Linked DNA regions of Caenorhabditis elegans. The protein of the gene in region 2 interacts with the protein of the main gene of each other region in a pairwise test. Each region holds a gene or a part of one and is shown on either strand. Other genes may lie near its edges. The genes, in order: mig-39 and ced-5.

Region 1 (5,217 bases), on a different chromosome or scaffold from region 2:
ATTTACAAGGAGAAACTGATTGAGGTTTTGGAGGATATATAGGTAAGTGATGTTAGGAAATTACTACTGCACCCGATTGATAATTTTTAAAAGGGTTTATTTTGAAGATATCAATAAACATTCCGACAGAAAAAGATTTTAAAATTATTTCTTCAGTACATTTTAAAATATTCCATAACGTTTTTTTGGATGGAAGATGTAATAATTTTTCATACCTTGTGTCAACACTTCTGCCTAACTGTAAGTGGCCACGCGATGGGCAGGCAGGCATAAAGAAATGCTTGCCTACCATAGATGCCTTCTATTACTGATTTTCTTCCACTATTTCCTAACTATTGTGCAGTTTGATAAGATTTTATGATTCAATAACTCTCCAAAAACTGCAAAGCGGATAACTAGGATTACCTGTAGGCTTTTCTTTAGATTGATATTTGTTGAAAAATAAAACTAAAGTTGAAAATGAAATTCAATTCCATTATACTTTAGAAACATAATATTTCAATTTAGAAGTTGGTAGTTTTCAACATTCAATTAAACTTTTTGATTGTGATAGCAAAACAATTTCAAAGACTGGAAAAAAATTCAAAATGGAAATGCCAAAATTAGGAATATGGTTAGATAAATTACGGATTTTCAAAAAATTATTTTAGCGCAGTTCACAAATTGAGCATTTGAAATACTCTTGGTGATTTGACGGTCTCTCCGCAGTTTAAAACACAGGGATATTTTTATTGAATATTAAAATCGAGTCTTACCATAAGTTTAAAAACCGTGTGTGACGTCACACTTATCAAGAAAATATGCTTGTAGAACATAGAATATGATAGTCTAAGAGTTTTTGAAATTTCTTGATAGATGTTAATATATGACAAATACTGTTATTCACAGCAAAAATAATAAAAACAATAAATTATCCTATAGGTAATAAAAATTGGAATACCACTCTTCAAAATTACTATTTCATTTTTTCTTATACCCAAAAGATAATCTTTGTTTTCAATACTAAAATGAAACGATAATACCGGTGAGTTATATCTATATCTACCTAGAATGTTAAAAACACGGTTGAAAAAAACCCGACGGCTCGAGGAGCTGCTGGCTTATCAGTAAGCTACTTGGCTGTACGCGAGAGGATGACGACGGATTCTAGATGAAAGAAGAAGAGGTGATCGGCGTGTGTCCAAGAGCCGATTTTGCGACGGATTTTGGGGAAATGGGAATGAAAGGGAAAAAGAAAAATGAAGAATTATTTGAATATCTTGATTTGATTTATTTTGGTTTTGCGTGGTAGAAACCCTTGATTTTTGATAATAGAGGAAGTTTTCAAAGAATAAATAATTTGAAAGTTCAATAAGACTTTTAAATGCTTAAAAGTAGAGGAGCACTAAAGAGAAAAGTGTTTATTTAAACTGAAAGAAAAATATCATAACATTTTTTGAAAATTTTTTCATTTTAGTCAATCAATGGCGATTGCAAAGTTTTTGCTACTGATAAACCTAGAAGTCATTCAAAAATGCAACAATACTCTGAATTTCTCAAAAATCTGAAACTAGATAATTTGGACATTTACCAAGGCCTTGGCATAAAATTTACAAAAATCTTACAACTTTTGGAGTGTTTAATTATGATGTTTGGTTATCTCAAAGGACTTCGTGGTATTATTTACAGGTTGTGTAAAAATTGGGAAAATAATTGAATAAGAGCAAAATGGATTTGAAAAGTAATATGCAACGGTTCAGAAACCATACATATTTAGGAGGATCTTGAATTCTGTCTCGGCCCCCTCCCACCAAAATACGCATAAAAAAGATATGAATCTACCCCAGAAGACGCCAAAAAGAAGTGGGCTATCTCAACTTGTTCGGCCACAACTTCACTGTTCATTTCGAAACCTAAACTGTTTTATTTAAATATACGAATGTTCATGAAACCATTCTAGCAGGAGGAGATGGCTGAGACAAGGGCGGTACACAGAAATAATAGTAATGATCGCCAATTTTCGGAAGAGGAAAATACAAAATGAGTCAGCATACATTGTCACAGGACGGCTCTCAAACAGTAGTGATGGGTGATTGAGGAAACGAGAAAAAGAGAGAGAGGAATAAGAGAAAATTGGTGGAAAATTGACTCATATTATACAATGGACGACTCGAACGAAATTTGAGTAAATAAACATGCTCAACCTATTGGAAATTGATATGATCGTAAATTATTGGCAGTTAGAAAAAAAATTCGTTGAAATCGCAAAATTTGATTGAAAAGTTATACGAACACCTGAAGATGAACCTACTATATATGCTAAATGTTATCTATACTCTCCCCATATCCTAAAATCATTTAGCAAAAATTTGGTCTAACAAAACTCAAAAGTGACTCAAATTTTCCCAACACCGAAGTGCTCTTCCTCTTTATTTTTTGCCCATTTCCCCAACTTGCTCTTTCCCCCTCTTTCTCCGTGGTAACCAAAACCAGATGGTTTCATTTGTTCCCAAAAACCATCCGGCCCCTCCGTGTCTTTTCATCAATAGACCTCCTAAAAACTCTTTGGGTGTAAAGTGTTCGTGGATTCTCATCAACTGGTGGGACCTACAAAGATTTCGAGAGCCACTTATTGCTAAATTGAATGATAGAAGAACAATGTGCGAGTTATGGAAAATGAATTGGAAGGGTTTGGGTTGGAAGATTTTCAGTTTTGACAGTCAATAAATGTTTAAATCTAAATTGTATATTGAAACATTTTTAACTGGTAAAGTGTAATAAAAACAAAATATCATATTTTGTAAAAAGAAAACCTAAAGCTATCCGAAATTTTTGAATAATCTCAGTGGGTCAGTGGGTAAATAAGTATACCAAAATTTCTTTCATAAAACCTTTGAAAGTTGATAAATTCGAAAACTCTTACTTTTCTCTAAAAATAAATAACAATAAACTGTCAGGTACTGAGTGAAATGTGGAGCGCGAATCGCCCATAAAACACTCACAAATACCATTCCTTCTTTTTTCCTTCTTCTCTCAATATTTACTAAACATCATCATAACTATATAGATATTTTCTGACTTGGTTTTATAGTATACACACTATTCTAGTTTTTAGGTTTAACTTACGTTTTTCGGGTTTTCCTGGGATTTGTGCAATGATCTCAGCAATTGTGGCAATAGTACCTGAAAATTGGTCTTGATTCTAATTTAAAAAAATTTAAATTAGTAAAGAAATAAAACAAATGAAATCTCATGTCCCATGGGGAAAATTTGGGCGGCTATCGGGATCTACAAAACCTAAAAGAAACCACAAAAAAATATGAATTTATTTGGAAATGAGGGCTTCGTCTTTCGGTGGTGAAGGAAATGCCGCAAATTTATGGGTTACTCTTTTTTGTGTTTCTCTGGATTTTTGAGAAAAAATGCTTCACACAGGGATATTGGGATGAGCAAAAAAGGGCGTTGCGACAAAAAACCCGAAGAAGGAAAAGACAAATGGTCGAAGGACATGGATATGAGAATAGGTGAATGGATATGTTTTTGAGAAGGAATTGAGGTATTTTGGAGATGCTGGTAATAGAACGTTTGGGTTAAAAAACTGAATTTCTTTCAATTTAATAAGATTTGATAATACTGAATGATATGGACTATTTGAAGCATGTAGCTGAAATGAGCATCTAGAAGTCTACGATTTCAGATTCACTGAAGTCATGTAGGGTCCGGTTAATCTTTTGTAGAACCCAATTCAGATTTTAAAATGCTGGTTACTACGACTTCCCGTAAAATTAATAATTAAGAATTTCCAACGAATCGAATTGGCAGAAAATCGACCAGACAAGTTGTGGATACCTTTTCTGTGGCCCTGATAGGTACCTGGTTTTACAGAAAAAAGTTTTACTTAAACAAAAATGAAACTTGGATTCCACCAGTACCCACCCAAGTAGTATTTATACGCGACCTACAAGAAGAAGCTACTACGGTAAGCCAATCGGGAATAAGTGAGACAAGAGATGTAATCACAGAGAGAGTTTTGTTTAGGCCTCACAATGATGTCGAAACTAAGAAGGAAGAGTTGTCATAGTGTATAACGAACCTAGGCCATCAATCATACTCACACACCATAAACGCTGGACTCTCCCCATCTTCAGGCTCGTGTATCCGAGTCGCATCCCCCTAAGGAGCATCAGGTGCTCTTACCCATCAAAACGACATAATCCATCAAAAATTGGCGCGCGCTCATGTTGAAGCCCGAGTCGAGCTGAGCTCTTTAAGAGGAGCCGCTGGCTCGTTTGTTGCAAAACAAACGAAGGGACAATACGGGTTTTGGGTATGGGATAACACAACACTTGGGACACATTCTCAAAATATTCGTCGAGTTTTAAGGTTTCTCTATTGTTAGGTCCTTACAAAAATAAATTGAAAAAATCTAAAAATCAGGAGCAAAGTGCCCAGAGGGCATCGTCCATCTCATTTTGAGTTACGAGTACTACTCTCAAAATTTCCGGATCCAAGAAATAAGGGCAAACCTTTCTCCAGTCCCATGGGTCATATAATTTTTGCCAAACATTTAGCAATGATAGACGGGATGCTTCTGGTGGTGGTTTTTTGAAGGGTTGCATGAAGTTTTGACCTGGTAGAGGTTAAGGTGGCATCAGGGAAATATATATATTGTGGTAAAGCCCCAGCAGGCATAACTTTTAATCAGTTTTTATCTTTTTTACGACCACCCAAGTGAGAAACAAATATGAACTGTGTGGTTCATTTAGTTATCTAGATCATACTAAACTGTATTAAATTCTTCTTTTAAAGGTTACAACGGGAACAAAGCTGGACAACTGCTTTTTACTAGTTTCAAAATCACGGCAGTCACGAATATGAACATTTCACATTTCTAAACAAAGTTCTAGAATACCAACATTCCTCATAGTTTTTCTCTCTCAAAACTTTCACCGGTTGCTCACAACTCAATATCCAATATGTTTTGGGATGGTCAAAAAAGAAAAGGAAGAAGCGACGAATCAATTGAAACAAAAAGTGGTTGTTGTTATTTCTCAATATTCGAGAGGTAAACCTTCTTCTGATGTGCTATACAATTGATGACGTGGCAGGTGACTCTTCTACCTCCTTTCAAAACGGTAGGACAGCTAATAATAGAAGCATCTGACGAGAAGGAGGAGGCGGTGATGGAACAAACGAACGAAAAATTGGAAAACTGAGAAAAAATAAAAAGTACAGAGA
Region 2 (4,933 bases):
TAAACCGGTTTTTCATGATATTGCTTATTTTTTCAGTTTTGGTTTGCGAAGTTTGGAAATCAAAAAGATGAAATTTCTGATTTTTTAATTTGGAAAACGTACTTTATTCCACATTTCTTCGACACGACAACTAATTTGAAGAGAGGACCCATAACTTTGAATGCATTTCTCGCTTTCTCATTTGAATCTTCTGAATCCGAGATGACATAGTGATTGAGACACTTTAGAATTTTTCTGGAAACAAAGGAATTTGAATTATACGTGTAATCTATGAAAACTTACAGTGCCGCTGAAGTAAATGAAAATCGTTTCAGATACACTTCGAATATTTTTGCAGCCTGTGGGTAGTGTCGTGGCTCCTCTGAAATATTAAAATAAATAACTTTATCCAAAAAGAAATATTTGAAAAAAAAATTTATGGTCAGCTGCACCGCTAGTTTTTTTTTTGATAAAAAAATTTTATCTTAAGAAAAATTTCTCGGAAAAAATATGGCAAGAATTTCAAAATTTCATTCAAACATTTTTGGCGGAGAATTCAAATGTTCTCTGGCAATTTTTCGACGGATAATTCAATTTTGTCAGGAAACATTTCAGCGAAAAATTGTAATTTGCTTAACAAATATTTTCGCCGGAACTTTTCTCTAACTGAACAAAATGTCAGAAAGCTGTACACTTACCACAAATTCTTAAAACCGCCACGATAACATCAAAAACGACTTTCTCCGAAGTCTCACGATCATGCCAAATTTCAAAGAGTGCATCCAATAAATGTGAGAAGAATCGAATCATTTCGTGTTCCGTATCTCCAATTGGTTGAGCAAGAGCCACCAATGAAGATGTAAGGTTGACACAATTTACACGCCATCTCAACACATTCAACAAATGCTCATTTTGAGTTAACATTGAAGAACATGAATGAGTGGATATCATCACAAAACTTTTATCACTCAAACTAAAACCCTGTGAATGAGGTTTCGCGCTTCCAATTGATTCTTTGAGTGTTCTTCTGGTATCAGGTAAGTTCATATAATGTACATTTGATTCATCAAAGTGAGATCCTGGATTATCAATTTTGTAGACAGCCAAGTCATGTTCACCATCACAGAGTAGAGCACTACTTCGAATGAGTTGAACATGTGCAATTGCAAATGGTCCTTTTTCTGGTTTTGGTTTGTCATATGCTTTCTTCGAATAAAATAAGATCCGAAGGTATACATCATGAGAAGCACATGAGGGAAGAGCAATTTTTATTGGTTCCGTCCACATTGGTTTGTCAGTATGATAAACTACAATACTCTTGTAGACAGTGCTAAGTTGCGAACCAGTAACCGAAATAGTCTCAAAAACATTTTCCATAACATGTCCATTTGATTCCACGACATGAAGACGTGCCTCAATGTTACGATCAGATGATTTTCCAGATAATTCAGCCTGCATTAAAGTAATATACATCTCATTTCGACTATCTTCAATTGAAACTGCTGTTCTATCAGCTCTTCGTAGAATCGCCGCTGGACATCTACTGAACAAATGTGGGTGTCTTGCCTTGATTTGAGAAACATTTCCAGGAACTAATTGGGTACTTATCAATAGTTTTGTTTCCATATCGTTGCTTAAATTCTTCGGTATACGATTTGTAGCGTGATATGCTTTTAGAGATAATGGAAGTTCTGGTTCTCGATTCAGGAAAATTACACGTTCTTTTGCTTCGTGGCCAACACCAGCAAGAAAGATGCTTGACATTTCCATGATGTCCGAGGCGTACGCTGAAAGTAGCAGCAATAAATTTTTGTATTCCAACCAGGGTTGCGCGGCAATTACTAACCGGTAATTCTACAAAATCAGGCAGTGGGCATGTTCTTCCAATATTTTTCATTAAAATTTAGTGATATTGATAGGCGAAAATAAAAATAAAAAAACCAATTTTCGCCAAAAATTGGCGAAAATTACTGGGAGAACATGCTACACTAGCTCATTTTGTGATTTAAACTCACATTGCCTACAATAAAATGTCTTTGGTATAGTTGCTTCGTGATGTCCATGCTTTCTCATCGTAGCATTAGAAGATTCAATCGGTGATACATGAACAACTCGAGTTACCATCAAATACTTTTTCTGAATATCTTCTTTTGCAAAATCAGTGAACAGTGCTTTCAAATTTAAATCCGTGTGTTTTCCACTACCGCTGTTCCAGAGAAATGTATAACTATCTCTGAAAATAATGCAACTATTGTCTTTTTCAGAAAAATTGTGAGTTACGTGGTGAACATTTTCTTGTCCAGATCATATAGTGATATGCTTATTTCACAGGAATATTTACAATGGAGTTCGACAGATTTAATGGAGAGCAGCAATGAGAAACTATCGTTGATTGTAACATTTTCAGGTTTCTCCCGCTGAAAATTTGAAAAATATATTGCTTGTAAGAGAAAAAATAGTATACCATCAATGATCCGACCCTTCCTTTCGAAGAAATGTGTGCTTCATATGTTCTAAGAAGTGAAAGTGATTCAACGTCAAGCGGAACACCCTCTTCATTGCGAATCACTACATCTTGGCCAAGAATTGTATTTCCACGGTCTACCAGTTTTGAAACGCGCAATCGGAGTTTGCTCAACTCTTCAATTGGAATCCCACCTAAAAGCATAATTATTTTACTATATTCCTGATAAAGAAACAAAATTACCACTTTCGATTTTAGTTTTTATTATTAGTAGTTCATTAAAACTATCCATCAAGTCTTCGAATGATCCAATCCTTGTCGTTTCCACCATCAATTCTTTAATTTTGGTCCACCATTCATTAATAACTCTGGAAATTTCATCCACAACGAGATATCCGTCACTTGTCGATACGAACATGGACTTTTGAACGATTTGTACATAGGCAAGTGGAAAAATCCCACATTTTCCATTTTTCTCGTCAAATTTTCGACCATATCCCCACTCTCCGTGCTGCCCGTAAACACATATTCGATCGCCAATAAAAAGTTCTAATCGTGGAGCATCACAAGATGGAAGCGGATCCTCAAATGTGTATTGAACTGAAAAATAAGATATTTAAATAGTTGCGAAGTGAAAACAAACCGATTGCATAATAGAAACCCGTCGTTGCCATTACGAACTCATTTATCTGAAGATTTAAGCTTGAATTTTCAATTAAAACGGACAATTTAATTTAAAACTACGTTATATTAATTTAAAATATCAAATATAAATATACAAATCAAAACGGAGACAGTTTCTGTGAGAAACAAACGTAAATATCACGAGAACTGTTTATTTCTGATGAGTAACTGTTTATCCGAGAGGAGTCCACAAACCGTGGCCGAGGATTTATGCTTGTGGAACCTAGGCCATTGTTGCCGGGAGAATGAATTTGGAAGTCAATTGGCAGAATAACCGTATACGTTTTGGATTCCATTGAATTTTTAACAGTTTTAAATTTAATATTTTAATAGTTAATGTATAACAAAACCGATAAAATGCATGTTTTGTCATAAATATAATGTGAATATCTATATTTTATGGTAACTTCGTGTTATATTTTTAAATTTTTTTCTATAGAATCAGAAAAAAAATTCCAGAAAACCAATGGAAATTGATGATCTAGAATCTACATCAAATTCAGTGCATAAATCACCACCCAAAAAACGGAGACGTGTGAAGAAGAAGAAAAGAAATGAGGAAGATGAAGAGTGTAAATTGGTTTTTATAATAAAAATATTTTTTCTTCACTTTGATTTACAGACGAAGAGAACAAAAATATGGCCACTCAAATAAATCAAAAATTTGGTTCAAAGTATAAATCAAATAGAAAAGATGAGACTCCGATGTTTGAAGTGAGAAATGGAAAATCAGTTATCAAAAATTCGGGGAATCACGAAGCAACTGTCAATCGAACTTTGGATTTTCACATGACAAAGCTTTTTCAGGTACGATTAAAATGATAAATCTAATTTTTATTATTAATTTTCAGTGGGAAGAGCAGTCAGACGCCATTGAATCTTCCTATGTGTGTGCATTGTGCCACGAAAATGGAGAGAAACGAGAACTTTTTGGACCATATTATGCAACACATAATCCAATTAAATATTGGCCATCTTTCCTGGCTAAGAAACCTGTAACAACCCATCCCATTCTCTAAAATCTAAAAATTAATTAACTTTTCAGACTGCCAAAAAACCTACAAAAATCGAATTATGGTTCCATGGCTCATGTGTTTTATGGGCTCCAAATGTGCATCTTCACGGCAATCAGCTAACAAATCTGGATAATCAAATCGATATTTTCTGGTCTCAAACGTGCATAGTTTGCCGCAAAACTGGTGCCGCAATTTCTGTACAAAATAAGAAAAACACGTTCATTCATTACCCATGTGCCAAAAACAAAGGTACAGACATTCCAGACAAAATACCTCCCACTCTTATCAGTTTTTTACAGGCTATAAACTCGACGAGCACGCTCTCTTGTGCAATTCGTGAAAAATCGATTCTCATTTCTCATCAAACAAGTTTTGCTTTTCAATTATGTTTTTTTTTCATTTTTTACATTCTCATGTCCCATGTTTTACCAATTGCACACTGAAACAACGAAATAAAAGATTTCAGTTTTATAATACAAATTTAATTTTATTGAAACTCCACATTTTCGCAACACTTGAATAACGATTCTTGTTATTATTGGGATGCAGAAAATTTCCTCTTTTTGAAATCTAGGTGATGACGCTCCGCCCCCGAGTCACGGGTCTCGTCAGGAATTTGGCATAAATTTCAACCATCTTTTGTCTATTTTGTTATTTTTAGTTTTCTGAAAATTTCAAGTCTTAAATTTTGCCATAAAATCATTAAAAAGACGAGAAAGCTGAAAAAATTTGAAAACAATCGAATTTACGGATTTAACTCCAAATACCACGAGACCCATGGTTCGGGGGC

What was found.
Region 1: the proteins of ced-5 (region 2) and mig-39 interact in a two-hybrid assay, tested with the Caenorhabditis elegans proteins (one large-scale study listed by BioGRID).

What each region holds. Positions count from the first base shown.
Region 1 is NC_003281.10:8,464,980-8,470,196, reverse strand, and holds the start of mig-39 (Zinc finger BED domain-containing protein 39), read right to left. Parts: upstream 3,163-5,217; 5' UTR 3,106-3,162; intron 2,489-3,105; exon of another isoform or gene 2,199-2,488; intron 1-2,198. UniProt on the Caenorhabditis elegans protein: Regulates the timing and orientation of distal tip cell migration during gonadal development. May act in parallel to cacn-1 and Rac GTPases to control the anterior and posterior migration of distal tip cells.
Region 2 is NC_003282.8:10,482,309-10,487,241, reverse strand, and holds the start of ced-5 (Dedicator of cytokinesis protein 1), read right to left. Parts: upstream 3,133-4,933; 5' UTR 3,118-3,132; coding exon 3,087-3,117; intron 3,044-3,086; coding exon 2,687-3,043; intron 2,638-2,686; coding exon 2,444-2,637; intron 2,397-2,443; coding exon 2,260-2,396; intron 2,213-2,259; coding exon 1,995-2,212; intron 1,767-1,994; coding exon 678-1,766; intron 362-677; coding exon 283-361; intron 235-282; coding exon 103-234; intron 1-102. Other genes in the region: F01D4.5 (PHD-type domain-containing protein), read left to right, coding at 3,594-3,699, 3,750-3,934, 3,979-4,122, 4,173-4,392, 4,433-4,449.